Linked DNA regions of Tamandua tetradactyla. The protein of the gene in region 2 interacts with the protein of the main gene of each other region in a pairwise test. Links are inferred from orthologs where the notes say so. Each region holds a gene or a part of one and is shown on either strand. Other genes may lie near its edges.

What was found.
Region 1: the proteins of COPG1 (region 2) and COPZ1 interact in a two-hybrid assay, tested with the Homo sapiens proteins (2 studies listed by BioGRID). The link is inferred for Tamandua tetradactyla from reciprocal best matches to the Homo sapiens genes COPG1 and COPZ1.
Region 3: the proteins of COPG1 (region 2) and COPZ2 interact in a two-hybrid assay, tested with the Homo sapiens proteins (2 studies listed by BioGRID). The link is inferred for Tamandua tetradactyla from reciprocal best matches to the Homo sapiens genes COPG1 and COPZ2.

What each region holds. Positions count from the first base shown.
Region 1 is NC_135333.1:115,696,855-115,704,650, forward strand, and holds the start of COPZ1 (coatomer subunit zeta-1), read left to right. Parts: upstream 1-4,776; 5' UTR 4,777-4,872; coding exon 4,873-4,890; exon of another isoform or gene 4,891-5,518; intron 5,519-7,796. UniProt on the Homo sapiens protein: The coatomer is a cytosolic protein complex that binds to dilysine motifs and reversibly associates with Golgi non-clathrin-coated vesicles, which further mediate biosynthetic protein transport from the ER, via the Golgi up to the trans Golgi network.
Region 2 is NC_135335.1:31,965,071-31,972,150, reverse strand, and holds the start of COPG1 (coatomer subunit gamma-1), read left to right. Parts: upstream 1-3,986; 5' UTR 3,987-4,112; coding exon 4,113-4,149; intron 4,150-5,121; coding exon 5,122-5,174; intron 5,175-5,615; coding exon 5,616-5,696; intron 5,697-5,953; coding exon 5,954-6,025; intron 6,026-6,519; coding exon 6,520-6,599; intron 6,600-7,035; coding exon 7,036-7,080. UniProt on the Homo sapiens protein: The coatomer is a cytosolic protein complex that binds to dilysine motifs and reversibly associates with Golgi non-clathrin-coated vesicles, which further mediate biosynthetic protein transport from the ER, via the Golgi up to the trans Golgi network.
Region 3 is NC_135332.1:29,313,687-29,320,665, reverse strand, and holds the start of COPZ2 (coatomer subunit zeta-2), read left to right. Parts: upstream 1-3,976; 5' UTR 3,977-3,985; coding exon 3,986-4,129; intron 4,130-4,476; coding exon of another isoform or gene 4,477-4,587; intron 4,588-5,344; coding exon 5,345-5,419; intron 5,420-6,979. UniProt on the Homo sapiens protein: The coatomer is a cytosolic protein complex that binds to dilysine motifs and reversibly associates with Golgi non-clathrin-coated vesicles, which further mediate biosynthetic protein transport from the ER, via the Golgi up to the trans Golgi network.

The DNA.
Region 1 (7,796 bases), on a different chromosome or scaffold from region 2:
TTGATTACAAATGGAATCAGCTGTGGATGAAGCTGACATGATTGTGATTTAATTCTATGAAATGTCCTCATAACAACAGACAAGTCAGCACTCGCCCAAAGAGATGAACAGGTACCACCACTTGGCCAAAATGACACGTGAACCTGACCATGACAGTGGTATATGGAAACTCTGTATTTTATGCATGATTTTTTTTTGTAAACCTAGAAATTATCTAATAAAAAATAGAACAAAAACTAAGAGGTCTAGATGATCCTATCGGCTGATCAAAATAGTTGACTACTTTGAAAGCCCAATGTTACAAGTAGAAGGTTGCTTGGTGAACAAATGGAATTAGTTGATTAATTTTAATGGCTGGCAGAGCTGAATCCACCACCTTTATAAAGATATAAGATATTCATTTGTGTTAGTGGAAGAATAGGGAATCTTTTCCCCTAAAGTTCACTTGAGAAATAATGACAAACTTATTTTGGGGAGGTGGGAGGGATTCTATGTAGACCATCCCCCTACAATCCATCTATAGAGACAAGGTCTGAATTGATTAAGTAGGATTTCAGAACCAAGGTACAATTCAATGGATTGGGTTTCTGTTCCAGCCAAGTTAATATAATTGATTCTGTTTATATGCACCTCAGCTATTTTATTATAATTGATTGGGTTAGAGCTTGATTGTGTTATGGCTCCAGCCATTTTACTTTAAGAGATTAGGCGAGGTAGAGCTTTGGCTATGTTGATGAAATTACGCTTTCCTGAAACTACATCAAGACTTTTGCTACTTCTACAAACAGTTGATTCTATCCATCACACTTTGACTTCTAATTTCACTTGTGACACATAATCTTTTGGGGAGTTTTTTTTTACTGTCACTGTTTTGTGTGCACTTGAACATAAAGAACTGTGGTGTCTCCCTAGTTAGTCTTTATGCCTTTCACTTGTCCTCTTCTCATCCTACCTGCACACGTGCAGTCAAATTAATGATCTTAAAATTGCTTCCATAAACTCATGTTTCTGCTCAGAAGTGTTCAATTATGTTCAGTTATTTATAAAATAATAAGTAAATACTAAGCATTTAACAGTTTACACACATTTTCTCAAACATTATCTCATTTAATCCTCCCAACTTTATCCCCATTTTATGATAGTCCCTTTTTCATTTATTAGTTTTAAATTGCTTGTTGTAACAAAGTCCTACAGGAACAACATATATAAAGAAAATCTATTGAATAATCCACTCTTTCCATCTCATCCTCTCAGGGTAACCTATGTTAATATTTTTCTTCCATATTTTCCTATATTTTCTCTTTGTCTGGAATGCTCTTCCCCCAAATATCCACATGGCTCATTCTCTAACTTTTTTTAGGTGTCTTATCAAATGTACCCTTCTTAGTAAGGTCTTCTGGGACCATCTTATTGAACCTCTTGCCTCTCCTTCACATCTCACTGTGAAAGGTACCACTCCATATTGTGCAACATAATGGGATCACTCCCGGTTTTCCTTTTTAGTTTTAATTTTTTTCCATAAACCTTATCACCACCTAACTCTTATATAGGTTACTTATTTCTTCGGTTTATTCTCTGCTTCCGCTGCCTAACTACAATGCAAATGCTACAAGGGCAGAGGTACCTGATTGTTTTGTTCACTGCTATAACCCCAGTGCCCAAAGCCAATGCCTGGCACATGGCTGGCATTTGATAAACATTTATTGAAAACATATACAAAGATATTTATGATAGAGTCTTAAAGTTTTTAAATGAAAAAAATAATCAGTTACCCCAACTATTTTGATCAATAGGATTGTCTAGACCACTTAGGTTTTTTTTTTAATTTTTTTGTTAGAGAATTTGTAGGTTTACAGGAAAATAATGCATAAAACACAAAGTTCCCACATACCACCCTATTATTAATACCATGCATTAGTATTGCGACAAATTGTAGCATTTGCTACAATTCATGCAATAACATTTTTATAACTCTTCAATTAACTATAGCCTATTGTTTACAATAGGGTTCACCATGCCATGTTGTCCTATGTGGTTTTTTTTTTCATTTTTATTCTAGTAATATATATAAAACCTAAAATTTCCCCTTTTAACCACGTTCAAATACAGAATTCAATGACGTTAATGATATTCACAATGTCGTGCTGCCATCACCACCATCCATTACCAAAATTTCCATCAACCAAGTTCTGGGGTACCTGATCAAGTTAGCTGGAATACTATGAATGCAGCATCTCAGGTAAAGATTCAGGTGGATATAAGGAAGAAGTGGGCTGAAGTAAACATCACTCAGGAAGAAGGGAGAGGAAACTGAGGTAGGAGAAAATGTGACAAAGGGAAGATTTTCTTTCACATATAACTCCCTCAACTTACCACTATTCATAGACCCTTTGTTAAAAGAGTTCTCTAAGGGATGTGAGGGTAGCTCAGTGGTAGAATTCTCGCCTGCCATGCGGGAGGCCCCATTCGATTCCTGGCCCATGCACTCCCCAAACAAATAAGCAAACAAACAAAAAACCAAACAAAAGCAAAAATTCAACAAATGGTGGTGCAATGAACGGATACTCATATGGAAAAAGAATGAAATGTGACCCCTGCCTTACAGCACACAAATTAAAAAAAGAGTTTCCTATCATCTCTTACTCCTTTACCTCCAAGTAAGCTCCTTTCTAAATAGGTGTAGGAAGGTATCTAAAAATTTCTAAAAACTAGTATCTACCTCATCTGATACCTTATCTGTTAACTGGTTAACTGCCTACAATAAAAAATATCTTATTAAAAACTACCTGGATTTTAAGATTTTTACCTAGATACTCCCCTCTCTGCTCCTTATCACCATCTTTCTGTCCAAACCCCAATATTCAAGCCTAAGCATCCCTGATTGGGCTCATAGTTGGTCAACTGTTTCCCTTCCCATTTTATATGTAGTATCTAATCTGAGTTGTCCCAAAACCTTGGTGGAAAGATCGTCAAGTTGGAGTCTTCTGCTGTGAAATTATTTAGACTGTGCCTCTCCATACTCTTTTCTCAAAGAGGTTGCAGGTTGAGTTACAGATTACAACAAAGAGAGCTCAATTCCAACCTCATCAACTGAAGCCTTGGGGGTGGATCTATGTTTCCTTAAACTATAAGCGTCCAGTTTGAGACTCTGAAGTTCACAGATAATGGACCTTCATGTTTTGTGTCCAGGGCTTAGCATCTCTGCAATTTTAAAGGGACAAGGTGATAAATCAAGTCAGCTCAATCAGGTATAAAAGAAGTAATTTCTCACACGCCAGTCCCTCAATTCCAGATGACTTTCTCTGCCATTTTTCAATTTATATTTGAGACCTGGATTGTTGAGCTTTGTCACTTGGGACTTCATCAGAAAATCATTTACCTTCCTCTTGTTTTTGTTTTTGTTTTTGTTTTTTTATTAGAGAAGTTTTGCTTTACAGAAAAATCATGCAGAAAATACAGGGTTCCTCTATAACCCACTCACGCACATAGCTTTCCTTATTATAAACATTTTGCATTAGTGTGGTACCTTTGTTACAATTGATGAAACATTATTATACTTATAACTATAGACCACAGTTTACATTAATTCACTCTTTGTGTTGTATAGTCCTATGGTTTTTAAAAATTGTTATTCTAGTAACATTTATACAACGTAAAATTTCTCCTTTTTAACCACATTCAAATACATAATTCAGCGATGTTATTGTGCTACCATCACCAGCATCTATTACCAAAACTTTTCCATTGTTTATTTTACTTCTCTCTTACGCCCTCTGACTCTACTCTGAAACTATGAAAAAAAAACTCTTGGGTTGGTTTGGACCTTTTCTTGGAGGGATCCTAAAGACAAAGTTGTCTGAGATGGGAAATATAAATTCCTGTAGGGATAATATAAGGCAATGAGAGGTGCCGAACTACGGGGGTCAGGCACCAAGGAACCAAGGGTTGGGGAAAGCAAACTTGATCAAAACCCTGCCCCATTGTGAAATCTCTGCACTTAGTAAACTTCTCTTTTCTCGTTTTGCAACGGCTTGTCCCTACTGGAAAACCGCAGACACTGCTCCCTGTACCCTCCCTCCCTTGTCCTGGTCCTTTACAAACCCTTTACCCCTCCTATTTTTCTCCTTTCAGGCGTCTAAAGCTCTAACGTCTCATTTCACATCTGACCAAAGGAAACTGTTAATAGAGAAATTCACTGGCTTCTTTTCCTTCCCTGGGTCCTGCAAAGCCTGGGACTCCAACTTAGAGAGATCTTTACCGTGGCGGCCTTGGTTCTTCTAGTTAAAACGCGAGGCATCTAGTGTAGTGGCTCCACTTTGTGGTTGTACAGACTTCCTTTGAGGATGCTTAAATAGCTGACCAAGCCTGGAGGGTGTCAGGCATAGCTGCTCCAGCAACCCGAAGTAACATGGACCTAGGGTGGGCTCTTGGTATAGTGATTAGGATAGGATTCTGTCACCGGCTGCCAGTGCTAAGGGCCAAAAGGTCATAGCGCCCCCTACAGGCAGTGCTGATTAAAGTTACTTAGGCGAGTCGACGGTATCACGTACGCTCTACTCTACCAATCGAAAATTAATAATCGCTTCCTCTGTTCCCCATGGAAACAACCCCGCCCCTGTCACTCTATGCCTCATTCCCTGGAGCGAATTTGGCTTTTTATTGAGTATTCAAGCTGACAATCAAATATCTGAGTTTTCTGGTTGGATATCTTACTTCCGTTGAGAAAGCTAGTACATTGATTGGTCAGTAAGGCAATTCTGGCGTCTGGTGTCCAATGACCCTTATCCTAGGGGGCTGCTTAATGGAGACGTAGAGCCAATCAGCGGCTGCGTTCTTTTTGCGGCTCCACGTCGGCACCAGCTGCGGGGCAAGATGGAGGCGCTGATTTTGGTAGGAGTCGGAGGGGCAGGCGAGATGCTGAGATGTCCATAGGGGCCGGAGTCGGGTTCAGCTCGACTGGAGGGAGGAGAGGGGGCAATTCTGGGTAATCCTCGGGGACCGGAGGTTCTGCTGGCCCTCGGAATAAGCGTGTGGCCTAGCACAGGAGCTAAAGCCTCGGACCGGAGTAGGAAGCCCTGCCGGGGAGAAAGAGGGTCATAGAGTCGGTGAAAAGTTGAAGGGAGCACATGGAGTCCGAGGATACATAGAATTATAAGCGTGCAGGGTTGGGGGCTTCTTTAGATTTTCCCTAATTCTTTACATTGTGGGTGATCTCCTGATCTGAGTTTCCTTAAATATCTAAATTCGCCCCAAATTGTAGGATTAGAGTTTTCTCATCACAAGTTGTGAGTTTGATGGCTATGAGTTTGACATTCCTTGCCGTATTCCTTCAAAAACCGTTTTTCTCCCTACTTCGGTTTCCCGTTAATTCCTGTTATGTCTGTCTGTCTTGATGAAGAGTAAGTTTATTCCACTGAAGTTCTGGAATAGCTCATAGAGTTAGTTTGGATTGTAGAATATTTTTTCCAGATTCTTTATTCTGTTCTCCTTTTTCCCTCCTCATTTAGACTTTTGGAATTCTTACTGTAGGATCTGCGATGCTGACTCTCTCCCTGGATACATGAGAATTGTAGTGGTTAAAGGGGCATGTTAGCCCGTTTTTAATTCATAACATCCATTTTAGTTGTTCAAACCAGTAAAATACCTATTACTCCTTTTGACTGGACCTAAGCATTTCTCTCAAAAATATCCTGTCTTCAATTTGGAAATATATATATATGAATATGAATTTATGATATGATATGAATTTAGTTCCTGGCCTCCTTCCTTGAGTTGAACTCTAGAAAGCTTTCCGGGAGACTTTTCTTTTCCTCCGACTTTATGCACATCCGTATCCAGATCCTCATCATCACGTAGAAGAGACTAACAGGTTTCAGTTTTCCCCTCCTTCAAAACTGGCAAAGGTGGAGATAATTCCTAGATTGTTCAAATCTAGGTAGAAAGCTTAAAATCCAGGTACTTTTAAATATATTTTTAGTAGCAGGCAGTTAACCAGTATCCTTAACCAATTAACAGATAGGATAGATAGATGCTAGGGAATTGGTTTCTTTGGAAGTTTTTAGAAATTTGTAGATACCTTCCTTACATGTTTAGAGGGACCCTGCTTGGCAGTAAAGGAGCAAGAGAAATGATAGTTAGGGTGCCCTTTTAGCAAAGGGTTTATGAATAGTGGTGAATTGAGGGAGTTATATGTGAAAGTCTTCCCTTTGTCACATTTTCTCACACCTCAGTTTCCTCTCCCTTCTTCCTAAGGGACATTTGTTCCAACTCACTTCTTCCTTATATCCACTTGAATCTGTACCTAAGATGCTGCATTCATGGTGTTAGAGCTAACTTGATCAGGTACCCCAGAACTTTGCTTTAAAAATCATACTGAAGTAATCAATGCCTAATGAGTAGGGAGTTTTTGTGTAGGTTGATGGACATTTTGGTAATGGATGGTGGTGATCGCAGCATGACATGGTGAATGTGACTATTACCACTGAAGTGTGTACTTGAAAGTGCTTAAAATGGGAAATTTTATGTTGTATATATGTTACCATAGTAATAATATAATCCTCATGCTTTTTTTTTTATCCTGAGGGACCAATGTAATTATGTTAAATGGGAAATCAAAGTACGAGAAAACTTTGGTTCAACAGGATAAAGATCTAAGGTGAGATACAGTGAGTCCACATTCTTTTCACAGTGAAGATGATGACCTAAGAATTGTGCTTAAGGAAGCACAATATCAAAACTAGGATTAGATTGGATTTATTCAACCTCTAAGATCACATCCCTCTATGATGTTACCAAGATTCTCTCACCATGGGCTTTCTCCGTCCTCTGTATGCAAAATTGTCCTTTCAAACATCACCAACAGATATTAATCCCTGTACTGGTCTCCAGAGATTTTAAGATATTAAATTAGTATTATCTTTCCTTTGGGTTAACTCTTTTCAACATTTTTTGCTCTTTACATACAGTTATTTGGGGCTCTCAATTAAGAATTTAAACACTTTTCTTCACTTTTCCAGCTTTCTCAACTGGAGTTCCATGAGCCTTAATGCCCTAAGGCATCCATTGTAATGAATCAGTCTCTATCCACTGCATCCAGAATGCCATTCATTATGAACCCTCCATTGGGGGAAGTGAGAAAATGGTCACTTAAATAATTTTCTGTGTTATGTAGTTCTGATGAGGAACTTTTGTTGAGAATCAGGTAATATTTCCTAAATCTCTATTCTCTCCTCATTATTGTTACACACTGGTCTACCAAAATTAGCTCCATTTGATTGAGAATCAAACTTCCTTACAGTACCTTTTTTAAATCTCATCCTCTCTTCTGTCTATTCTCAGCCATATCTCCTGATTCTTAGGTCATCATCTTCATTGTGAAAACAATGTAGACTCTCTGTATCTCACCTTAGATCTTTATCCTGTTGAACCAAAGTTTACTGTACCAGCTGAGTGTTTAACAGGCCACTCCCTAGAGAGGGCAAACTCCTTTCAGAGTAACTTTCCTTTTCCTCCTTTCACATTTCTGTTTCCTGGTTTGGCTGGACCTCTGGGGAAATCTGATCAGAAAATATTCTTCTGTCCTCACTCACCTTGACATAGCACACAGTTGTAGAAGAAGTAAAGAGTTGAGAAGAAGGAAAGCGTAAACTAGAGGTGATCAAGTGGAACTATTGATCAAAGTTGGCTCTGATTATGAGAATTTCTTAATCCCAATAGGTTCCCTTCACTTAGGTATGTTAGAATGGGTCACATTTCTTTCCTGAATTAAGTAATCCAGCTCTAGCTTTCAAACAGAT
Region 2 (7,080 bases):
GGTCCAGGGGCCCAATGGACCCACTGGGAGGTGGACCTGAGCTAAAACTCCATCGATGACCTGACCTCCATAAGCCTGGACCTGAGTGACATTTTGGCTCTCCTGGAACTAGTGTCACTTCTGAGTCAGTGTCTAATAGTCCCCGACATAGTTGATCATATCCTTTTCCCCAGTGCACAATGACCCTGGTAAAAGGTCTTAGGTCTCCTTGGGGAAGGCTGAGAGGAAGGTTAACTATACAAATTTGGGGCAGTGTAAAATGGTGCTTCCCCAAGGGTACCTGGCCCTCCCCTCCTTCAAGGAGCTCTGGGTCTGTAAACTGTCTCAAATTTGGGAATTGATTAAAACGACCGTGACTCACTGTTTTTGTAATCCAAGTTAGACTTCTGTTCATTTGACTTAGAATTTTGCTTTTATAGCTCAAATAAGAATTTAGTAGACAGCCCATCTATTTTACTTCTAGTTATTCCATGATCTTCCAGCCAACGCCACACGTCTCTGCGAGTCAGATTATTCTGACTGCTGCCTTGAGTCTGCTGTCCGTTCTGATAGCCACATTCACCTTGTCTTTGGCGATTAACTGTTGCCACCTGGCTTCTGCCAACTCAGGATCTGATCATCCGCATGGTGTTTAAGGATGCCAGCTCAGTGACAGCAGTTCCCACAGTAGTATCTGAACTACAGAGAAGGGTGACTACAGAGATGACGGATTTATTCTCAAGGTCTGGTGAAAGGTGTGTCCTCTGGACATTCCTGGAGTGTGTGAGCAGGTCTTCCATGATAAATCCACTCTAAATTCCAATCTCTCTAGCCTCTGGATCACCTCATCTATATTATATCAGGGCAGTTCTGGCATTTCGACCTCAGGTAATATTGGCCACCTTTGGATCCATGTTTCACTCAACCATCCAAACAAACTGTTAATGCCCCTTCTAACCCCTAGAGCTACAATACTGAATGTAGAATCTCTGCTTAGTGGGCCCATATCAATTAATTCAGCTTCATACAACTTTATATTCCTTCCATCATTATCCCACACCCTTAATAGCCATTCCCACACATATTCCCCTGAATTTCTATCTATATAGATTAAAAAACTCATGCAGCTCCTTTGGAGATAGCTTACTTCCTCATGGTCACACTTTGTACCTCACCTTTTAGGGCCTGTTGGGACTTCAGTCTAGTTATAGGTCTTGAAGAAAAGGAAGATGGTTGGGGTGGGTCATGAAAAGATGTAGAAGTATCTTTCAAGCCAACCACCTCAGGGCATTCCACTATAGTTTCTTCTGGTGAAACGGGACCAATTGCTCCAGACAGAGAAGTGAGAGCTATTTCCCTAGGGGAGGTGGTTACAGGGTTAGCAGGCACTGAAAGGTTAATCCCTTTAAGTGGAGATTGGATGGCAGACTCCTCTGGGCAGATCGGAAACTGGGAAGCTGTTTCCTCAAGGCAGTCCATTGCAGGTCTATCTAGCAAAGGCTCAGCAGATTCCAGGGATCCCATCTCCCCATCACCATCATTTTATCAAGCCATATATCCCCATACCACGTTTCAGAATCCCATTCTTTCCCAATCAAAGCCTTTAAGGGCAGACACCCTGCAAGGTTGAAATTTTACTTTATGTTATAAATCTGCTACTCTAACAATGAAGCTCTGTGTCTGGTTTTCAGAGATGTCAAGCTTGTGACCACAGGAAATAAGATTTTCTTTTAGGGCACACATAGAAACTTTTACATAGTTCATATGGGACTTAGGTTTCAAATTTGAAGCCTTCAGCTCATCCCTTTCGCTCACCAACGTATCCAGTATATCAAATAACAACCAACCAACATCATAGCTCTTAATTCGACAAAACTCTGAAAAGGTGTCAAAAACACTCTCACCCTGAGCCTTTCCTTGCATAAGTGTACAATTAACAGAATCTAATGGTGATATTTTGCGTATCTCTCTTGCCAGCTCACCCCATAGACTGTCAGTGCCATCTTGATTATTTGTGCCTAACAGAAAACCAATTGTTAAAATCCATTTTTAAGATTCTGTTTTTCAAGAATCACTCCCCGTACCAAGCTTTATTAGTCAGGGCTCCCTAGAAAAAGAGAACCAAGAGGAGACATCTGTAAATATGAGATTTATAAAGGTGTCTCATATGACCATAGGAACAGAAGAGTCAAAAATCAGTAGGCAGTCTCTCTCTCAGCCAACACGACAAGCAAACTCACTGCCCTCTCCCTCTCTAAGTGGGACATGACTCCCAGGGGTGTGGACCTTCCTGGCAACGTGGGACAGAGATCCTGGAATGAGCTGGGAATCAGCATCAAGGGATTGAGAAAACCTTCCGGACGGAAAGGGGATGAGCAAAATGAGACAAAATAAAGTGTCAATGGCTGAGAGATTCCAAGCAGAGTCGAGAGGTTATCCTGGAGGTTATTCTTACGCATTAAACAGATATCACCTTTTTAGTTAAGGTGCAATGGAGAGGCTGGAGGGAACTGCCTGAAAATGTAGAGCTGTGTTCCAGTAGTTATGTTTCTTGAAGATGATTGTATAATGATATAGCTTTCGCAATGTGACTGTGTAACTGTGAAAACCTTGTGTCTGATGCTCCTTTTATCTACCTTGTCAACAAAGGAGTAGAACATATGGAATAAAAATAAATAATAGGGAGAACAAATGCTAAAGTAAATTTAGTTTAAATGCTAGTGATCAATGAAAGCAAGGGGTAAGGGGTATGGTAGGTATAATCTTTTTTTTTTCTTTCCTGTGTTCCTTTTATTTCTTTTTCTATTGTCTTTTTATTTATTTTTCTGAATTAATGCAAATGTTCTAAGAAATAATGAATATGCAACTAAGTGATGATATTGTGAATTACTGATTATGTATGTTGTTTTATTTTTGCTTCTTTATTTTTTTAAATTAATAAATAATTTTTTTTTAAAAAGATGCATAATGTTTCATCCGTTGAGCGTAGCGTTCCATACTTTCCTTACTTACGGACAGTTAGGGTGGGGTATCTTGCCGCAAACTGCTGCAGTGCACAACCTCATTACCTTTTTTTGGGCTAGGGGTGGGGTTACAGGTTACAGGTTTTGAACATCATTTAACTCTTGACAATCTCCCTTTCCCGCGAAACGTGCACGCCCGCTCCCCAACCCCCCAGCCTCCGAGTCCCCCAGCATCAGCACCGCCCAATCCAAAAGGCTGTCCCCGCCTCCATCACTCCAGCACACCCCCTTTGCTGTCGATCCCCCACCCCCACATTTCTTCGCCTGCGGACCTTTGCCCGGTCTCCTGCCTCTCCGCGCGCTGCCCCCTCCCGAGGCTAGCTGGTGGCACGCGTCGCATCGCTGGACCATGCCGACTCAACTCGCCGCAGCGAATGCAATTTGGCACGTTGGCACTCACTGTCCTTACCCTAGCTTCGATTTGGGACGTTGGCACGTACTGTCCCGAGCAGGTTTCCAGAAAGGTGAACCCCGGGTGATGTGTCATTTTCCCTTTTCCATCCCTTCTCGCCCACAGCGCTAGGCGGCGCGGGTAGTTGGCTCTGGGTGAGTACTAGCAATCAAAGTGACGCTGAAGTCTCGTGCTGAGGCTTAGTTAAATCTCTGAAAGTTAATAAAGTACAAAACAGTTTGCACCGGGTGCAGGTGTGATCGGGATTAGGTGGATATGATTATAATAGCAACAGCACACATTCAACAAGCGCTCGTTGCGCACTTACTATTATTCGCTGCGGTGACCAAAAGACAGTGAAAGCAATAAAGTGTAAATATAGTATGTCAGGTGGTGACTTGAGCTAAGGAGAAGAATCAAGCAGGAAGGAGCATTGAAAGTGAGAAATGACGCAGAGATGGGGCGCCCGCCCACCCTCCGAGTCTCCGCCTCTTGGGCCTCTAGCCTCTAGTAAGGACAGGGTTAATGCCGGCCTCGGCTGCGGCGGCCGGGATGTGCGCAGGCGCAGAGCACGGTTTGCGCCTGCGCAGAGCGCAAGGCGACGTGGCTGGACCGAACCCCGGAAGTGGCCCCTGTGGAACAACCGCGGGACCGCTGCTCCGAGCCCTGCCAGGCCCGCGTAGTATTTATTGCTGCGTTGCGCCCCCGTCGGCATCGCCATGCTGAAGAAATTCGACAAGAAGGACGAGGAGTCGGGTGAGGGACCCCAGGCCTGGGTTTGAGGGAGGCCGGACCTCCACGCAAGCCCCCAGGACCCTCCCTGGGAATCCTCTTTAAGGTGCCTCTGACCTGAGCTAGAGGCCGAGGCCCAGTGAGGGGTTGGGGCTTGTGCGAAGATCCAAGACTGGACGGTGGCAGGCCTCGGGGACCGAGCATCCTTCAAGAGACCCCTTCCCCTCGTAAGCTCGGACCGCTACTCGCCGGGTGACCTTGGACAAGTCACGCTCTTCTCTGGGCCTCAGTTTTCCCATCTGTCAGAGGAGAGAGTCGGGCTGGCTACTCCCTTGCTACTTTCTTCGTCCAATCTCTCTGAATTTGCCGGCGCTGCGTTGATGCTTGTCCAAGCTAGGGCATGGTCAGCGGAGTCAGTGTGCTGTGAACCCTAATTCCATTCATTCATTTGTTCAACAAACATATTGAGCGCTTACTGTATGCAACGCTTTGTACAGTCCTGATACAGTCCTAGAACAAGGTAGACAGTTGTCCCCTGGGCTGGACACATTAGAATGGAATAAACAAGACAGTCACAGGTCTAGTAGAGGAGAAGAACATCAATCAGATAATCATACACATGATTAATTACTGAGATGACATCTGCTATTAAGGAAACCTAGTAATGGGACGGTTAGCCCCTGGCACGTAGTAGGGACTCAAATAGTACGGGGCTGCATAAATGAATGCAAAAAGTGACATACACCATGAGAGGCACAGAAGAAGGGCTGTACCAGCAGGGCTGCTAGATGACTGTAAGTGGTTTGGGATAGAGTGGATTCCCCTTGTAGCAGAGTAGTAGGATCTATGGACAGATTGTAGAGCCTTAATTGCATTCATGAGAACTTTGAAGTTTACCAGGTAGCCAGTAAAGAAATCTTTCCCTTTCCTCTGTCTCTGAGAGTTTTAAATTCAGAAATAGAACCAGTATTCATTCTTCTCCATTACTGATTGTAGGTGGAGGCTCCAACCCATTCCAACACCTTGAGAAGAGTACAGTACTTCAGGAGGCAAGTGTCATTTGTTCCCCTTTATCTTACATCATAAATGTTCATGGTTGAGAAGATGAAAATATGAACACATTCAGACAGCTGATTTAGAGAACTATGAGGGAGAAAACCAGTGCCTGGAAAAGCAGAAAAACTTTTGTTCTCAAAGAGAATTCATTAAGCCTACGTTTTTGTTGATGATATTGGTTGTTTCTTCTTTGAGTTAACAAGTGATTACTAAGTATTTGCTGGTTAGTAGGTTGGCCCATCTCTAACTAATATTTAGGGAAGATTTCAGAAGTTGATTTTAGATGGATTGAGGGAAAAACCTCTTCCTTTATGAAAATAAGCTTGTCAAGACAGGTGTATTGATTTACCTTAGGACCTGCCAGAACCTTGAATGTGCTTGAGAATTGTCAGTGGAAGGGATAGAAGATAATAGTCTTGGTCACTTCTTCTCAGGCACGTGTATTTAATGAAACTCCCATCAACCCTCGAAAATGTGCCCACATCCTCACCAAGATCCTTTACCTCATAAACCAGGTAATAGGGTGAACCTGGGAGTGCAAAAAAAAATGGTGCTGGGGGAGGTTTGGGAGAGGGATATATGAATTATCACACACTTAGGTGATTTGACAGCTTTTGGTCCTGCTTTGGGTCTCCCGGAGCATCCAATCCTGTTGTGTTGCCTTTGATGGCACCTCTGCGGGGTCCAAAGAGCTGGCATGGGGTGATGTGACGAAAAAAAAGCCATCTGGCCCCTCCTTCCTAGGCTAAGGCTTCTTTCTTTTTTACCACAGGGGGAGCATCTGGGCACCACTGAAGCAACCGAAGCCTTCTTTGCTATGACCAAGCTCTTTCAGTCCAATGATGTAAGTACCCTGGCCCCAGTTTTTCTTGAGGGGGAGCAGCTTATAAGAAGGTGGTGGGAATAGAAAAAAAAATAGGAGGAATAAAGGTTAAAATCTGTTGAGTAGATGGAAATACTAGTGGTCAATTAGAGGGAGGGGTAAGGGGCATGGTATATGTGAGTTTTTTTTTTTTCTTTTTATTTCTTTTTCTGAAGTGATACAAATGTTCTGAAAAATGATCATGGTAATGAATATACTGCTATGTGATGATATTATGAGCCATTGATTGTATATCATACTAAGAATGTATGTTAAGAATGTTCATGTTTGTATGTTGTTTTGGTTTGATAATACAAAATAAATTAAAAAAAAAAAAAAAAAGATGATGGGAGGACCAAGGAAAGCTGGCTTTGCCAGGCACTGTGGGCTGCCTTTGAGAGATCAGGGTTTTTTTTTTCCTAACTCTGGCCCTCATGGTGAGCCAGGGATGATAGGGCTTTTCTCATCTCTCACAGCCCACACTCCGTCGGATGTGCTATCTGACTATCAAGGAAATGTCTTGCATCGCAGAGGATGTCATCATTGTCACCAGCAGGCAAGTTGTTGGTGCTGTGGGTGGTTCTTCCGATGGGTTCCATGGACACAGAGGACATTTTTCCTCTTATGTGTACCAGAGTATGAGACTTTTGGTTGGCATAGTCATCTGGCACTCTTGCCCATTCTGTCTGCCTCATCCTCCAGTTACTGGTGCCAACCCCATGGTGGCCTGCAGGGTATGCTGTTTCCCTTTTAATTATCTGGCTTTAACTTGGACACAAACCTCTTCCTCCCTTTGAAGTACACAGAGCCAGAAGAAGCAAGAATAGCAGGAGAACATGGGTTGGGAGATGTTTATAGTAGTCCAGGCAAGCGTGATAACCTTGGACCTAGAGAGGAGTAGAAGAAGGGTGTGGGTTCAGGGGAGCAGGCCTGTAACTGAGGCGGGGCAGGGCAGGCTCCCTGTGTGTTGAGCACCCCGTCTCCCCCGGCAGCCTCACAAAAGACATGACTGGGAAAGAAGACAACTACCGGGGCCC
Region 3 (6,979 bases), on a different chromosome or scaffold from region 2:
AAAATCCTTAAAAACCTTGAACCCCCCCTAAAGTTGGGGAGACAGATTTTGGGCTGCTAGGCCGTCTGCTCTCCTTCTACGTGCATGGAGATAAATTCTTTCTCTGAAAAAAAAAAAGCTCCCCAGGTGATTCTTACTGCAACCACAGTAGAAAATCACTAGCTTAGAGCTAAAGGTGGGTAAAAAGAAACAGCAGTGGTTACTGTAGAAGTACAGACTGGAATCATCACCTGTTTTTTTAGTATGTATTATTTCTGGATCCTAAAATGCTCTCTCTCCTTAACCTATACAGTGAAAATGCCTCCTTGTTCATTCATATCTCGATTCAACATTTTGTGAAGCTGAGTTCAGCTGTCCTCTGTCCCCAGTAACATGGGTCCTTTTCTTTGGATAATTTTCAGTGCAGCTGAGGAGGTGCCGTTGTACTGGTGAAAGCTTTGCCTCCCCTTCTTTCAATTTATGTTCTCCAATTGAAATGATAATGCTAATACTGTCTCCTCTTCTGCTTTGCAAAGCAGAAGTGGGTGTTTGGGACTCATACATCCATGGGTGGAAGAAGTGGGTGTTTGGGACTCGTATCTGGGTTAAAAAATCTAGCGCTGCCACCTACTAGTTGGACCATCCTGGGCAAAATGGAGATAGTATATATTCACAAAGCTTCAAAATTAGCTCGTGTGTATAAAGCCACGTGCACCTGGGTAGAGCTGAGTGTGAAGTCCCTTTTTTGAACAACTCTTTCTCTCTATTTACCCTGCAAAACTATCCCAGATAAAGCCAAATGCATTGAGGAAATTAGTCCGGTCCTTAGAATGGTCTACAGGAAGCCCATCCTGCAGGCAGGGCACAGAAGCTTTAGTTTCCTCAGAAGGATGCCACAGCATACCCATCCCAGCCTCATTCTACACATGCCTCCCCCTCTTGACATACAGCAGGAAGGATGGGAAGAGGCTGTCACCCCAGGGAGCTGTTTCTTCTTGTCACACAAGAACAGATGCTGAAATCCTAGGACAGTACAAAATGTGGCAACAGGAGGGGGAGTTGGAGGAAACAGAGTGGTCTCACCTCCAAGCTGGACCAAGGCCCAGAACCGAATCCCATTTGAGTCAAGGCCCCCCGGAAACTGCGCAAGGCAGGGTGTGTGTGCTTTCAGGACCAGTTCCGAGCGCAACTACTCTACAGACTCCAGCCACTTAGAGATGCACCCAACCGCACCGTGAAGGGGCCACAGAGAGCAAAGAAGCATGAAGGCTGCATTCCTTCTGAACCCAGCTTTGCTTCCTCATTCTGGGTAGGCTGCCCAGCTGCTTCTCTTCTACTCTGCTTGTATGCTTCTCAAGTGCTGCTGGCCTTAGACCATGGAGTCCTCCGGGGCGATGCTTTGTGGAAAACGCCATCCTGACGCCCTGCACGCTTAGCTTGCATTTCAACATAGAACGCAGTTAAAGGTGCACCTCCGGCTGGAGGAGCTCATGAAAAGAAAGGAGTCCTGGGGTCTCGGTGGAGACCGAATCTCTTGAAAAGCTGAACTTCAGGGCTCTCAATTTACTGAACTAGCCCTGCACTTGAGAAGTAAACAGAGCCGTATAACCATGGCAACAACAGTGGTGGTGAGGATTCAATGCCTCATGCACTTCCTTCGCCAACGTCCACTCTTACCCCCGGAGCACCTCCCCAGTGCCTTCGCATCCACACCCCCTGGATTTAGCTCTCCTTGGGGAACCACACCAGCTCCTGAAGACCCCTGCCTTCCCAGATCTTCCCCCCTCCCTTCAGAAGGCTGGTCCTCTTCTGCGACAGGTATCACGTGCCAAGCAGAAAAACGCCCCTGGAGGCTTTTTTGTTACTATCTGAAACATGAACTAAAAATTTGTAAATATGAAACTAAAAATTGGCTAGCTCAAAGAAATGTGAGGGCATTGAAATAATCAAATCAGTATTTCTTATGATATTCCCCATGACTAATGACAGTGACTTCTGAGGATCTGGAATCAAAACAAATAAAAAGCCCAATCCTGGGTCCTCTTTCCCCCAGTTGTACCAAATTGTGTTGACTAATGCTCACTATTATAACTCTGACAGCCTGCAACGGAGATTTGGATGTGCCTTCCAAATCGTTGTAGAAAGCGGTTCAGCCAAAGTTTCTTCAGATGTCTACACAGCTCACCCCCTCACCGTCTTCAGACCTCTATGCACCTCTTAGAAGCCCTCTCAAAAGCCCCTACTGAAAATGGTGTTGCCCGGCTTCTCCCAGCCCCCACCCTTCCTGATCTCCATTCTGGCTCTATTTTTCTTAATAGCACTTATCATCAACTGATGTAATATCTGATTTACTTGTTTATTCTTTTTTATTTGCCTTACAAAGAAATGGATGCACACATGCACACTCACACACACACTTGAACATACTCTCCATGAGAGTAAGGATTTTGTTTATTTTACTACTGTGTCCCAGTGCCTAGAAGAGTATCTGGTAGTACATTAGTGAGCACTCTGTAAATATTTGTTCAGTGTATAAAGTATGATTTCATTAAGTACATTTTAATTATTTGTTTAAATAGGTAGTCTGTGAATATTTATACACAATCTCCCTTATCCGGAAATCACGTGTTCATGTATTTACTCAATTACACAAAGTCCACCCCATTTACACAAATGCTTGCTAAGTAACCTGTCGTGTGCCAGGCCCTGTGACAGGTACTAGGGATCTGTGAGTGAACGGGACAGCCATGTGCTCCAAGTCTGGTGGGTTTCCACTGGTAAAAAGTAAAAATAATATTTAGCAATCGAGGAAAATACGATGAAAAATAAGTAGGGCGCAGAGACAGAAAGCATGACAGGAGAGACCTGTCATATTAGGTACAGTGGTTGTCAGGAAGGGACATCTAAGTTGAGACTTGAAGGTAAGAAGGCTTGATGCCATTTGGCAAAGGAAAGCCCCATTTCCCAGTCACCTGCGATGCGCTCCCTGTGTGGCACAATGTGAGAGGCCTTGGAGAGAAGAAAGGGGAAGACATTTGAAATCTAAAACTTGGGTTTCCACTCCCACTCAACTACTAGTTTTAGAATCTTGAAAAAGTCACACAAACTCTGTCACCTTCTGATCTATAAAATGGGGATAATACCTAGCTCACATGTGTGGGTTATATCAGGTCATGGATGTGAAAGTGTTTAAACGTAAAATGCACGTATGACGTTGTTACAGGTAAACGGATAGGTACCATTCAGCAGCGAAAAGCCTACTGGTGGGCTCTTGTCTTCTGGTGTATTTCTACCAAAGAAACCAAAGTGAATTGCAAAGCCTGATGCCCTTGGAGGAGTATCTGTGCTGCTAGGCATGTGTCTTGGTTCAGATAGTGCCACTTCTTGGGAGACATCCTGGGAGGTGTCCCGGGGCCAAGGCTGCCTTCCCCCCAAACTGGAAGAGAGGCGGGAGCTTCTTCCCCACAGAAGACTATCCCCAGAGCAGCCTGGTCTGCTCTCACTGCTAGAACCTGCCCCGAAGACCAGAAGGGTGACCTGGTATGTTCGTACGGATGGTGCCTGCTCTAGTTTGCTGGCTGCCAGAATGCAATAGATCAGAAATGACTCGCTTTTAAAAAAGGAAATTTAATAAGTTGCTAGTTTACAGTTCTAAGGCTGAGAAAATGTCCCAATTAAAACAAGTCTATAGAAATTTAAGGCATCCAGGGAAAGATACCTTGGTTCAAGAAGGCCGATGATGTTCAATGTTTCTCTCAGCTGAAAGGGCACATGGTGCACATGGCAGCGTCTGCTGGCTTTCTTGTGGCTCTACCAAAAAGGACTCTCTCCAAAATGTTTCCTCTTTTAAAGGATTCCAGTAAGCAACTCTACCTTCAATGAGCAGAGACACACCTCCATGGAAAACATCTAATCAAAAGTTACCACCCACAACTGGGTGGGTCACATCTCCATGGGAACAATCAAAATGCTCCCACCCAGCAATACTGAATGAGGATTTAAGGACATGGCTTTTCTGGGGTCCACCATAGACTCAAACCAGCACAGTACCAAAGTACCTAAGAGCGGTCAAGAGACAAAACTGGACGTTGCCTGTGTTTTCTGCTGGCCTCAGGGCAGTCTGAGGATTCCCCACAGGCGCCCAGAGGAGGTAGGAAGAAGGGGTGGACCTGGGGCAAAGGAGGATGCGGAGAGTTCAAGGCGCGAGAAAATGGAAAGGAGCCCAGGAGAGAGGGAAATGAGAGATGGGGGAAGGAGAGCTGGAGTGTAGGGTGCAGGGCGGGGAGGGCGGGACAGGAGAGGAAGGAGAGCGAGCAGGAGGTAAGGGCCGTGGGGAAAAGGAAAGACAAGCACAGGAGATGGGCGCGAGGCCTGCGGCGGCCGGGCAGCTAGCGGGCGGTGGCCTCCGGGGGGCGGCCCCGCGGGCAGGGCCGGCCGGGCGGGGGCGGAGGCGGGCCGGCAGGCGGGCGGCGCTGTCAGTGCGAGGCGGCGAGCGGAATGCAGCGACCGGAGGCCTGGCCACGTCCGCACCCGGGGGAGGGGGCCGCGGCGGCCCAGACCCGGGGCCCGGCGCCGCCCGCAGGAGCCGCGGAGCCCACGGGGCTGCGGGTATGGAAAGCGTGGGCGCCCGGGAGCCCGGACGCTGGGAGCGGAGCTCAGGGAGGAGGGAGCGCAGCCACCTCCCAACTCGCGCGCCCCGCGGCCAGGAACTTTGTGCCACTGCTGACCAGCCCCTGGCAGGGCCCGGGCCGAGGGCAGGGGAGAAAAAGTCCGCCGGGTGCGGACTCGCGAGGAGGCCAGTCCTGAGCCCCGCCGGGCTCAAGTTCTGGATCAGTTTGGGGGGAGTGATGAGAGGGAGGGTGGAGGTGGACAGGGGTTCCTCTGGGAGGAGGTAAGAGTGGCCTGAGCGCCCCAGGCTCCCGTCCGCGTGAGCCGACTGGCGTGCTTCTGGAGCCCACCCGGGCCAGAGCCTGGAGGCAGGCACCAATCCAGCCTCGGTCCGGGGTCATCTGGAAGGAGGAGGCTCGGCGCCACTGTCCACCCGGCCCAGGTTCTGTGATACACTTGGACTCGGGCTCTGGAGCAGTCAGTGCATGACAGAACTTGGGCCCGGATGGACCTTCTGCACACGTCGGGTGCGGCGCCACCCGGGGCCTGCAGTGAAACACCTGCCTGGAGTAGAGCAGCCCCGGAGTTGGCCCATATGGGGGGGTTGGGCCCGACCCTCTGTGGACCTTTGGGGCTGGAGTCGCTGGAGCCTGAGGATGTACCCTGGAGCCAGCAGATCCCATAGAGCCAACAATAGCATGTCCACCTTGAGAGCTGTTGCTTCAGAGACCAATGGAGTTCCCCTCTCCCTTGTCAGTTGCAGGAACCTTCTCTCTACACCATCAAGGCTATTTTCATCCTGGATAATGATGGGAACAGGCTACTGGCCAAGGTAAACCGGCACCCTAGCCCAGAGGCTGACACCAGAAGGACCTGGGAGACACACAGTGCTGCAGCACTGGGAACAGAGGTTCTCACCCAGCTGACTCTCCTATCTCAGGAGAAACTCCACTGGTGACCTCTGCGATTTGGAGGAGCTCAAGGAGCTCAGCTTAGACTTCTCCAGAGGACCTGCTGTTCATCCTCCTGCCTTGTCAGGCTGCTGAGTCCTATCCCGAGGGAGGGTTTCCTATGGTTCTACTCATGTTGCCTGAAACGTCTTTCCATCGTCCTTCCCACTGGCCGGCTGGGCCCTGGGTATAGGAAGGGACCTCCTACAGGGTCAGTGGAGTGTTGGACCTGGGATCTGGAAATCTTGGCCCCCAAACTTTAAACAAGCAACCTCCACTTTTCTTCTACAGCTTGGTGAACACAATTGTGGGTGTCTAAGAATTTTTAGCCAGGCAGGATTTTAGAGACCATATTAGTCCAACTCTCACATTTTACAGCTGAAGAAAATGAGATCTAGAGAAATGTGCCTGAGTTCACGATCTGTTAATATCAGGAGCTATGAACTGCAGTTTTTTTACTTGAATCTCGGGATGGTTTTCACCCCACCCCAGTTCAACTAGGTGGTCTCCATCCTATTGAACATGGCCTGGGTAAAAAAACTAGAATGATCCAAAAATAAATTTCTATGGTGGAGATAACTATAGCAGGGCTATAGCGTCTAAACTAGTTATGAATGTGTGTTAGATTTCATTGTTGTGGTTTGGGCTGAAAATTTGTCTTGTAATTTTTTTTTTTTTTGCCTTCATGACATTCAGATGAGCTTCTCCCCTGCTGCAGTGGCCAGCAGGGAGAATGCCAATTTGCCTGGAGATTGAGCACTAAATAGCAAGATCCACACGCACAGAAGGGAGAGCTGGCCACGCTTTGCCTCTGTGTCTGAGGTGGATCATCAGTGCCAAAGGCTCCAGGGCCTTGCTCCAGCATGAAACATCCATGTCACAGATTAAAAAACTGAGTCAGAGAGGCTCACAGAACCCAAACATAAAGACATTGGTCTAGTTATACAGAATGTGCCTGGAACGTTTCCCTAGTTTTTGTGGGGTTTTTTGTTTTGTTTTGTTTTGAGGTGTGTGGTCCAGGAATCAAACCTGGGTCTCCTGCATGGCAGAGGAGAGTTCTACCACTGAGCTACCCTTGCACTGCCCTTCCTTAGCTATTTCATCTTCACCCTAGCCCTGTCTGGAGTCAGACTGTCCTTCGTGTTGAATCTCAGCTCTGCCCTTTACAAGCCACAAGGAAATTTGGGGGAAGCTCCCTGACTTTGCACCCCAGTTCCCCCAACTAAATAATGGGGGTAAAAGTGTTCTTGTAATGGAAGTTGTTGTTTATGATTGCCCTGGCCATAAGGAAGGACTCCGGCTCTGCCCTCTTTTCTATAGGTTCAGGTCAGTGTAGAAACAGTGGCCCAGCGACCACCCTGGTCCTTAACACGCTGCATATCTGGGGAGTGCATCCAGGAGGGGACCCCAAAAGGAGGCCTCAAAACTCCTCTCCTTTTTAT